3 linked regions of the Cricetulus griseus genome follow. The main gene of each other region encodes a partner of the protein of the gene in region 3 in a complex. Links are inferred from orthologs where the notes say so. Each region holds a gene or a part of one and is shown on either strand. Other genes may lie near its edges.

Evidence for each region. Proteins that work in one complex are often made in the same cells at the same time.
Region 1: Pole3 (region 3) and Pole2 share a complex: the UniProt entries of both Homo sapiens proteins name them as parts of the DNA polymerase epsilon complex. The link is inferred for Cricetulus griseus from reciprocal best matches to the Homo sapiens genes POLE3 and POLE2.
Region 2: Pole3 (region 3) and Baz1a share a complex: the UniProt entries of both Homo sapiens proteins name them as parts of the CHRAC ISWI chromatin remodeling complex. The link is inferred for Cricetulus griseus from reciprocal best matches to the Homo sapiens genes POLE3 and BAZ1A.

The regions. Positions count from the first base shown.
Region 1 is NC_048598.1:134,165,625-134,169,275, reverse strand, and holds part of Pole2 (DNA polymerase epsilon subunit 2), read right to left. Parts: intron 1,991-3,651; coding exon 1,814-1,990; intron 1-1,813. UniProt on the Homo sapiens protein: Accessory component of the DNA polymerase epsilon complex. Participates in DNA repair and in chromosomal DNA replication.
Region 2 is NC_048598.1:147,382,632-147,386,282, reverse strand, and holds part of Baz1a (bromodomain adjacent to zinc finger domain protein 1A), read right to left. Parts: intron 2,682-3,651; coding exon 2,557-2,681; intron 1,954-2,556; coding exon 1,354-1,953; intron 1-1,353. UniProt on the Homo sapiens protein: Regulatory subunit of the ATP-dependent ACF-1 and ACF-5 ISWI chromatin remodeling complexes, which form ordered nucleosome arrays on chromatin and slide edge- and center-positioned histone octamers away from their original location on the DNA template to facilitate access to DNA during DNA-templated processes such as DNA replication, transcription, and repair.
Region 3 is NC_048595.1:83,345,352-83,349,102, forward strand, and holds Pole3 (DNA polymerase epsilon subunit 3), read left to right. Parts: upstream 1-1,014; 5' UTR 1,015-1,164; coding exon 1,165-1,230; intron 1,231-1,322; coding exon 1,323-1,408; intron 1,409-1,706; coding exon 1,707-1,825; intron 1,826-2,024; coding exon 2,025-2,194; 3' UTR 2,195-3,517; downstream 3,518-3,751. Other genes in the region: CUNH9orf43 (uncharacterized protein C9orf43 homolog), read right to left, coding at 210-306, 678-701. UniProt on the Homo sapiens protein: Accessory component of the DNA polymerase epsilon complex. Participates in DNA repair and in chromosomal DNA replication.

The DNA of each region.
Region 1 (3,651 bases), on a different chromosome or scaffold from region 3:
GTGTCTATGAGCACCTGCACACAAATGCACATAGCCACACAGACACATACATATAATTATCTTTTTTAAAAAAACAACTTTTTAAAAAAGATTTTATTTATTATGTATACAACATTCTGCTTCCATGTATATCTGCACAGCAGAAGAGGGCACCAGGTCTCATAACGGATGGTTGTGAGCCACCATGTGGTTGCTGGGAACTGAACTCAGGACCTCTGGAAGAGCAGTCAGTGCTCTTAACCTCTGAGCCATCTCTCCAGCCCCATAATTATCTTTTTTTAAGAAAGAAAAAAGTAATGAAGCAATATCAAAACCAAGTTTTGATCCTAACTAAAAGGTATAAATAATATTTTTTAAAAAAAGAGAAAGAGAGAATGGTGCTAGAGGAGGTTGCTCATACAGTTCAAGATCAGAGTGGGAAAACCCATTGGTAAGGTGTTTTTTAAAATAGCATCAACTAAGAAAATGTCCAAAGATGTAGCAACTAAAGAGAATATCCAATGAGGAAATAGCCTCATTGGATATTTAAATGTAATACACAGAGGAGCTGGAGAGATGGCACAGCTGTTAGGAGCACTGACTCTCATGCAGAGAAACTGGGTTCAATTCCCAGCAACCACAAGGCAGCTCACAATCATCATAACTCCAGTTCTAGGGAATCCAATGCCCTCTTTGGACATTCTCAGTCACCAGGCACACACACAGTACACACGCATACATAGAAGCAAAACATTTATACACATAAATCTAAAACAAGAAAAAGACTGAAAATCAGAAGACTGTGAAAATCAGACCACAAATTTTATGTAATGATGCCAGTGAGTTAACCTTTGAAAATCAGAAGACTGTGAAAATCAGACCACAAATTTTATGTAATGATGCCAGTGAGTTAACCTTGGAGAATGCTGATCCCTAGAGAGTGATTTGCAACCAGGGATTATTGTCCCTCAATAGACATTCAGCAAACATCTAGGGGTACTTATGATTGTCACAAGTGAAAGATGTAACCAGCATCGGGAGATACAAGTATACTGCTGAGCTTCCCACAGTGTACATGAAAGCCTCCTACAACCAAGAATTACTTGGTCCAAGATGCAAAAGTGCCAAGGTTGATGATAAGCCCTGTGTAGAGAAAGCCACACAAATGTACATTTGACAAAAGTAACCAATCCAGGTCATAATGCTTCTAGATGTGACCCAGATGAAACAAAAAATATTAAGATTTAAAATTCATAAGAATCAGTTGCCAGGCAGTGGTGGTACATGCCTTTAATCCTAGTACTGGGGAGGCACAGGCAGGTAGATCTCTGTGAGTTCAAGACCAGCCTAGTCTACAGAGTGAGTTCCAAGACACCCAGGGCTATTACACAGGGAAACCCTGTATGAAAAAAACAAAACAACGAAAAAAACTACAATACTTTATAGTTACATCACATACTGAGCATTTAAGAATCTTCTATGTATACCAAATTATATCAGTGTTTGACTATATATTTTGTCATGATGATTTTACTCTCTATATAAATTCATAGAATTGTGCTATAGGGTACAAAGAGGCTCAGTGGGTAAGGTACTTGCTGCTGAGTCTGACAACCTTGTTCCATTTTTGGGATCCACATGGTGGAAGGAGAGAACTGACTCTCACCATGGCATACACCCTGACACGCACGCGCACGCGCGTGTGCGCACACACACACACACACACACACACACACACACACACACACAGAGAGAGAGAGAGAGAAGTAATTTTTAAAATTAGAGAAAAGACAGAGAAATGTGCTGTACTCTAGAGCATCCACGGCATCCTTACAGGGTTTATGCAGAGGCACTCAGTGTTTGTCACGGTGAAAGGATCATACTTGTCTGCAATGACCAGCAGATCAGGCACAGGGTACACTCTCAAAGTGTAATCATACGTCCAGTGGACGGGGCACACATAGAGAGGCAGAGGAGTCAGATGTCCCTGAGATAAGACAGTCTTCACAAACTGCAGCAACACAAACAAAGCAAAACAGTTCATCAGTGAAAACAAGAATAGTAGTTTTAAATCAAGTATTGATTTCTGCGAAGACCTAGGATATTTACAAAATAAGGGATCCCTGAATCACAGAACACCAATGAACACTGCTCTTAGAATGAAATTATCACATAACCTAGGGGAAAACAATTTAAGTTTTCACTGAACACCATTTATCATAAAACCAACCCTCCCTTTAGTCATTTTGAATTAACCATACACATAATAAAGTTATTTCCTAATTCAGCTCATAAAGGACAAAAAAGGGGTGTGGTGATCTGTACTCCCACTCATTAGGAGGCTGAGTATTGCCATGAATTTGAGGCCAGCCTGTTCTACAACTGGAGACCTTGTCTCAAAAAAAATATAAGACCCATCTCTTAAAAAAAAAAAAAAAAGAAAAAGAAAAATCAGGGGCTGGAGAGATGGCTCAGTGGTTAACAGCAAACACATGGTGGCTCACAACCATCTATAATGAGATCTGATGCCCTCTTTGGTCAGGCAGACATACATGCAGGCAGACCACTGTATCTATAATAAATAAATAAATAAATAAATCTTAAAAAAAAAGTCCTGCTAATGTATAAGCCAAGAAAACATTTATTAAAAAGAAAAATCACAACTATAACAATTTTGCAGGTAGAATTGCTTAGTGGATACAAGGCTTGCCACCCACAATGCAAGCCTAGTGACCTGAGTTGAGTCCCCTGCCCATGGAAAGGCGGAAAGAGAACTGATGTCACAACGCTGCTCTCTGGGCTCCACACGAATGCCACGCATGGCATGTGCATACTCTTCTCCCCTACACCATATACACACAAAAGTACAAAGCAAAATGACATCCTCATAGTGGAAGGCATGGGTCAGCAGCTAGTCACCCTGCGATACACAGTAAGACTCTATCTTTAAAAAGCAAAAATAAATAAACAAATAAGCAGACCTTTTTATAACAAAGAATAAAAGTGATTTACTTCCATATCTCTCAATGACAGCTGTATATTTGGGAACTTTGAATTTATAAGATTACCACTGCATGTACTCCTGGTAGTGGACACACCATATGAAATATGTAATAAACATAAGAAATAAGAACATCTAATAAAAATAATACACATACTATGAAGTAAACCTAAGGGTTTCTTTTGGGGGGGACGGGGGTAGTTGAGACAGGGTTTCTCTGTGTAATGGACCTGATTGTCCTGGCTGTCCTGGAACTCACTCTGTAGACCAGGCTGGCCTTGAACTCACAGATCCTCCTGCCTCTGCCTTCTTAGTGCTGAAGAGATGGCTCAGTGGTTAAGCAATCATGAAGACCCAAGTTCACATCCCAGCACCCATGTCAGACTGCTTGCTAATACCTGTAATGCAGTTCCAAGGGACCCAATGCCCTCTTCTGGCTCTCACGGGCACTGGCACATATATGTGCATATTATACTCTCAAAGATACACACACATAAATGACAAAATTTAAAAATAAATCTTTTAAAACAGCCAAGGACTGGAGTACTGACTCAATGGCTAAGAGCACTGTGGCTCTTGCACAGGACCAGGGTTTGATTTCCAGCACCCACATAGAGGCTCACAATCCTCTGTAACTCCACACCCAAGGGATCCAATGCCCTCTCCATAGG
Region 2 (3,651 bases), on a different chromosome or scaffold from region 3:
GCCTAGCTCAATCATCAGAGAGGCTTCCTCTGGCAGCTGACGGGAGTAGATGCAGAGATCCACAGCCAAACATCATGTGGAGTTCGGGGAATCCTTTGGAAGAGGGGAAGCAAGGATTATTGGAGTCAGAGGGGTGGGGGAACCAGGAGAGCATGACCCACACAAAAGCAGGGCTCATAAGGGCTTACAGAGACTGAAGTGACAATCGCAGAGCTTGCATGGGAATGTGCTAGGTCCTCTGTATATATGCTGTGGTCCTTTAGCCTGGGTAACAGTGGGGTCTCTGACCCTTTTGTTCCTAGTGGGTTGCTTTGCTATGAGGCTTTTTGCTATGAGGTTTTATTGCATGTTGTTAGATATCTCCAGGAGGCCTACTCTTTTCTGAAGAGAAGTGTATATGGGGGAGAGGAAAAGTGTGTGGGGAATTAAACTGGGAGGAGTGGAGGGAGGGAAACTGCAGTCCGAATGTAACATATGAGAAAAGAATAAATAAAAAGAAAAAAAAAACCATAAAGTATGACATAGTTAACATGCCCCAAATGTAAGCAGTTCTCCAAACTCTCATCAAGGGAGGTTTTCCTTTTCTAATCTACCATCAGTGAGTCAGCCTCCCACAAGAAGTACTGCTCCCTGATCTGCCCTGGCAGCCACTCTGCCTCCAGAAACCACTAATGTATGAATCTGGCTGGAATTAATCCCATTTACTATAGCATCTTCAAAACTTAGAGTCTTGGGCTATCTGTGGGAAATCAGTAAAGTACACTTTGGTGTTTCTAGACCAGTAACATATATGACAGTAGCCAGAAGCAGAAGGTCAAAGAACCACCTTGAATGGGGTGGCACCACCCAAATAGACTGGAGGCCCAGAGCAATAAAGGTGGAAAGAGAAGGAAGTGAGCTACTGCAGTTTTCTGTTTCCAAGCTACCACTGTGATACTTGGTCACTCCTGCCAAACCCAGGAGTGCAGGTTATTTTGTCACAGCAATGCAAAGCTGAATAATACAAGCAGTCAGTCTACTGAGACCTGTTCATACTCTAGATGGTTACTCATGATCCAAACAACATAAAGACATTTTGTGAACCTTAGTCTGTATGAAGAAATATATGCCCACATTAACATATTTTTACGTCTGTGTAACAGATTGAAATAGGTTTAATCCTCAATGATTAGGATTATAGGAAAAGAAAAAAACAAAAAACAAAAAACACAATACTTTTCAGTGAAACTTTACCTGAAAGTCAGGTGGATCTATCTCCATGGTTTGAAGGTCATCCTGTTCTACAGTGTGTTCCAGGACAGCCTGCGATATGTAGAGACCCTGACTCAAAAATCAAAACAAACAAAAATTTACCTGAAAAGTGAAATTTTTCTTCAGAAAAGTGGGCCAGCTGAGCACATATCCTGCTCTTCTCCTGCAGCAGGGTGTCTTTTAAGGCACTTTCTCTGTGTCCTCTGGAGTTGAGAGCTTCGATCAGCTGGTCCAGTTGGTCTTCAGAACTGTAGAAGCACCACCGATTTGGCTTATGCACCGGTTTTGGCAGCAGTATAGAATCGTCAAATGGACCTTGGTCAAGACTGGAGGTAGATTCAGACATGAATGACTCTTCAGTTTTAACAGATACCTGAGCGTTGTGAGACTGTGCATTATCATGAAATGATGAAGGTCTAGGCAACAGCATGTCTTCAGTGAGACCTGAAAAATCCTCTTCTATAAACAAGCCAGGAATAGAAGGGAAAATCCAGTATCGCCTGTACATGCGGTCTCGCCCCAAAGGGAAGATGTTGGTACAGGCGATGGCACTCTGGATCTTGTCTAGGAGTTCTTTCTCTTTCCGCTGATGTTCCTGCCTCAAAGCTTCCTCTGTATCAGCAGCAAGAGGCTCCTGCTTTATGCAGCAGTTTATCTCCTCCTGCTTTATACACTGCTTGACTCCACTTTGTCCAGCTTTTCCTGTGTTGAAAGAAATGTATCATTACATTCCATTTATATTTTGTTTCTTTGGGTTTTGTTGCTGTTATTGTTGAGCCAGGGCCCCATCATATAGACCTGGCTCTTTAAGGCCTCTGCCATCATACTCAGCCTCATTATATTTTAATTTTTCATTAAAGAAATACGAGACATGCCAGGATGTGGTAACAGCAACTTGGGAGACAAAGGCAGATGAATCTGAGTTTGAGGCCAGCCAGGTGTACAGAGCAAGTTCCAGGACAGCCAGGACTACACAGAAAAACCTTGTCTTGAGAAAAAAGAAAAAGAAAGTTCCAGACAAGTCTGGGCTATATACTACATAGTGAGGCCCCACAACATCATTTATAACAAATTGGTCAGGTTTTTACAACTCATGAGCTATAAGGCTATGTGTAAGACACCACCACAGATAGACATGGAACATATACCTATAATCCCATCACTGAGAGATAGAGGCAGGAGAGTCAGGAGTTCAAAGTCAGTTCTGGCAACATAGTGAGTTTAATGCTGGCCTGAATATAGCTCAATCAAGACATAGCCAAGAAACAAACAACCCTGCCGTAAATGACCCAACAGATATGATACCTCTTCTGCTCCTTCTCTGTGATCCTGGGTCATCTTCATCCTCAGTGACCATATCAGGGTCCAGATCTTTCTGCTCTGTTTCTTTGCTCTCAATACTAGTGTCAAAATCTTCCTTTCCTTCCTCCCTGAAAGGAAAAGGTATGAGCTTAAAATCTTGACAAAGTATAAGAGGAGTGACTCAATATATGGATGAGAAAAAAGGCAGAGTTAAACCATGCTTGGCCCTAGAGCAGTGGAGAAAAGTGAAGTTTGGATTTATTTAGTATGTTTATGCATTTTGCCTGCATGTATGTATATGCACCATGTATGCTCCTGGTGCTTGTGAAGGCCAGAAAGAGGGGGTTGGATCCCTAGGAACTGGACTTACAGATGGTGTTGAGTACCAAGTACTTGCTAGGAACAGAACCTGTGTCCCATCTGCAAGAGTAGCTAGTGCAGCTGAGGCAACTCTTCACAGTGCAGAAGGGAAAGAGGATTAGAGAGCATGGTTGACTGCAATGTAGCTGAGAAAGTGGATGATGTAGAAAGTCACTTTAAACGCTCAGGGCACTGGCAAGGTGGTGATGGTCAGAGTAGGAAAATACAGGGAGGCGTACACACATCAGGGGAAGTGCACACTTCAGACACAGTGGGTGGGTGGGATGACCATAACCTGCTTACTTCAGACACAGTGCGTGGGTAGAATGAACATAACCTGCTTACTCCATTATGTTGCTCAAAATTTAAATTAAGATTAAATGAACTTCAGAGTGAATCCCACCATTTAAACTGGGTGCAGTGGTGCATACCTTAATTCCAACATCCAGAGGCTGAGGGAGAAAGACTACCTTGAGTCTAAGGTCAGCCTGGGCCACACACAGAGAGTACCAGGGTAGTCGGAGTGAACAGCAAGACTCCCAGACAAAGTACATGCTACTATTTTTGTTACTACATCCAAAGTTTTGCAGGCTCACATTTATATTTATAAGGAGACAGGGAAAAGGTATATGACAGGGAAGGATGAGTATAAAAACATGAAGGAGTAGACAGGGTAGCTCAGGAGTAAAGTTGCTTGCATGTAAGCACAATATGCCAAGTTCAAACCCCAGAATCCAC
Region 3 (3,751 bases):
GGGGCGAGAGAAAACATTAGTTTCTCATGAAGAATTTTTTCTGTACTTGATATGAAAATTATATACCTTAAAACACTATTGAAAATGTAAAATCCTGTAATGACTTTAATGGGGAATATGTACGAAGAATCACTTAATGAATTAAAAAATACAACTTTAACATGGGTTGTTTTTTTTTTAATGAGAACGAGAATATGATGCATTCTTACAATCCGATGCTTCTCGCCCTTTCAGTACCGGAGCATTCCAAACTGAGCCCCGAAGTTTCATCAGGCGTCTCTCGATATCGGCAGCATTGCAGCTGTCCTAATAAAATAGTTGGCATTAAAAAAAAAGATTTAGATAAAGTTTATCTTTAATACGATTATCTCAAGTTGTGAGGGGAATAAGATTAAAGATGGACATCGGTAAATTTACATGCAGCAAAACTGGAAGAAAATCTCCACTGAGTTCCGAGCCAAAAAGAAAAAAAAAAAAAAAAGTGAAGGATTCAAGTGTCAGTCCGAGATTCCGCGGGATACAAGCAGATTCCAAATAGTGCTCTGTTCTGCACCTCTAGGGACAATGCAGAGAGAGAGAAAATGCTCCGAGGCTTTGGCCACGCCCACCTTTGCCCAAGGGGTCACGCCCACCTAGCCCAAGGGGTCACGCCCACCTAGCCCAAGGGTCACGCCCACCTCCTCCGGCGAGGCCACGCCCATCTCGGCCGTCGGAGTGTGGTCCCACAGGCTCAGTCTATGCCTTCACCTTCCATGCTAGGCACCATGCCCCCCCGTTGCCTAGCAGCGGCGCAGGGCACGATGGGAGAATAGACGGAAACCTCAGAGAGCCAAATTTAGTTTCGAAGGAAAGCTCCAGCGATACTGACAGTGCGTGGTAAAGAAACGAGCCTGGAGAGGAATGTCGAGGATACCGTGGAGGCTAACGGAAACCTCAGTGAGCCGAAACCATTGCGACTTGGAAAACTTGGCTACGCCGGCGACTTGAGGCGGGGTCTTGTGCAGAAGGGAAGCTGTGGTGCGCAAAGCACTGTGGGACACCCGGCAACGTGGGGTGGGAAGGAAGCCTCCGAGGGTCAGATCTTAGCGACGCGGGAAGTCCAGACACCAGAACTGTCTGAAGAGGAGGCCTGAGGCGGAGAAGGCTCGGGCTCCAGCGGAGGCAATGGCGGAGAGGCCCGAGGACCTAAATCTGCCCAACGCCGTCATTACTAGGATCATCAAGGAAGCGGTGAGCTGCTCGGGCTGGCGAATGGGTCGAGGGCGGACGAGTGGGCAGAAGGTTAACTAGATCCGCGTGTGTGTTTATCTCCACTCTCGCAGCTCCCGGACGGCGTCAACATCTCCAAGGAGGCCCGGAGCGCCATCTCCCGCGCCGCCAGCGTCTTCGTTCTGTATGCCACATCCTGGTGAGCCGAGCAGGGAGGGAGGCCCTGCGAGATCCTGACCCCGAGTTCATGGCCCCATTAATTGTTCCCCGACTCAGTAGATAGAGCGACTCACAGCTCCCCTCCAGTCCTCGCAAATTCTGAAGCAGGTGAAACAAGAAGGTTGCCGTATCCCTTTGTACGGAGAAGGAATGGACTGAGTCGTGTTACAAAAACCTATGACTCTAAGATAGATGTGGGTTTTCCCACCCCGCCTCTTTGGTGTCTCTTTTCCCCACCCACTCTGACAGCTCCTGAAGGGCTTTGCTTTTTCTTCCAGTGCGAACAACTTCGCAATGAAAGGGAAGCGAAAGACTCTGAATGCCAGTGATGTGCTGTCAGCCATGGAAGAGATGGAGTTCCAGCGGTTCATTTCACCATTGAAAGAAGCCCTAGAAGGTATTCACTCGCTCTTCAGTTTCTTAAGCCACACGGAAGCTGGTCATCCTTCGTTCCCTGATCACCTGATCTTAGTAATCCAATATTGGTCATGATTCAGCTCTGTTTAGTTGGTACCATCTCAGATACATGATGTGGGCCTGGTTGTTCTTCCTGTGGCTCAGTTTGTCTAATTAAACAATAATCTCCTTCTTTACAGCTTACAGGCGGGAGCAGAAAGGCAAGAAGGAAGCTTCCGAGCAAAAGAAGAAGGACAAAGACAAAAAGACAGATTCCGAAGAGCAGGACAAGAGCAGGGAGGAAGATGATGAAGATGAAGAAAGACTAGAAGAGGAAGAGCAGAATGAAGAGGAGGAAGTAGACAACTGAGTCGAGAGAATGGGCACTCTGCGGCACCATGGGAGTGACCAACCTCCCTGAGATGTTTTTATGCGAAGCCTTTCCCTGCAAGGCAGAGCCATCTTCGGCACAGGTGCCTAAGATCAGAATAAAAACTGACCAGAATGATCAAAACCAGCTCTTGCCAGGCTGAGGGCATCAGAGTAACAGAAACCTGTTTTGCTGAATCAGTCTGGAGGTTGTGACTTTTTAGTATAAGGGATTCTGACTGACTAAATAGTTTGATGTCATTTGTTTACTTAAGTATGTGGCTAGCTAGTTTTTGATCCCATTTCCCTGACCCTCCAAAAAAGTAATAACTTCCATGTTGCTTGCCTGCTGTGTTCTGGATCACAGAAGCACTCAAGGCTCAGGGGGAGGAAATGGGGCTTTGATCATGGTCACCCTGTTTGATTGTACAGTATCTGGCAATAGGTATTAATGGTCAGAATGGTTGCGCTTTAGGAAATGACTAAAAGGCTGTGAGAGAATAAGGTAATCTCTTCACTGGATGGTAGCATTACTTGTTTGTTTTGTTTTCTAGACTTAATTAGCCTGTAGCCCTTCTTTGTTGACTATAGATGTTCAGTCTTCTGGGGTGGCTGCACTCCTACACATACACTCTTAAATTCTCAGTGTTGATTAAATTCTGTCCAAAAAGGGTGTCAATTCTTAAAAACAGGTGACTTAATCTTAGGGTAACTCAGTGCCTGCCACTGTAGGATTTAGTGCTACCTCCTGGAAGGTATAAAATCCCAGGTTTTCTCTTGCTTAGTCCATCTCCCTGACTTGCAGCTGCTGCTTTTCATTCCTTGAACTCTTGACAAGTTCCAGATGTTATTTCCTCTAGGCATAGCCTTTTCCCTCTCCATCTCCTGCCTCTGCTTCCCAGCCCCTCTTTCTCCTTTTCTTAATTCATCTTCCAGTCTAGGAACTTTGGTAACCCATGTAGTGTCGCACAGTGCCAGTTCCTCAGATTCCTTAGTCCTACTCTCCTGAAACGCCTCTGAACCTTAAGGTAAATGTAACGGTGCTCAGGAATCTAGCAGCACAGCCACCACTGCTGTGGCTTTTGAAGTGTCTGTTGGCCTTTCCTTTCTCCCCATTTAGTGCTCCAAGCACCCTTTTTTTTTTTTTTTTTTTTTTTTTTTTTTTTGGTCTTAGTTGAGCACTTGAGGTTGAAAAGTAATGTAATATAGTTGGATACTGTTAGCTAGTTGAGTGAATACAATGAAGAGTTTATTGAAAGTGATGAGACTGTTGAGAAGATTTTAATGCTTTTTACAAATAAAGAACATTCTTGTTTAAAATGGTGACTCATAACAGTGTACTTTCAGAAAGAACCTCTCTCTCTCTCTCTCTCTCTCTCTCTCTCTCTCTCTCTCACACACACACACACACACACACACACACACTCAATCTGCATCTCCTTGGCTCACCAGCAGGTGAGTGAGCATTCACAACTAACGACACTGCTCTTAACCACAGCCAACATTTTCTGAAATTCTCTTGGTTACTGTGTATATCTCACTGGCTCTCACTTCTTAA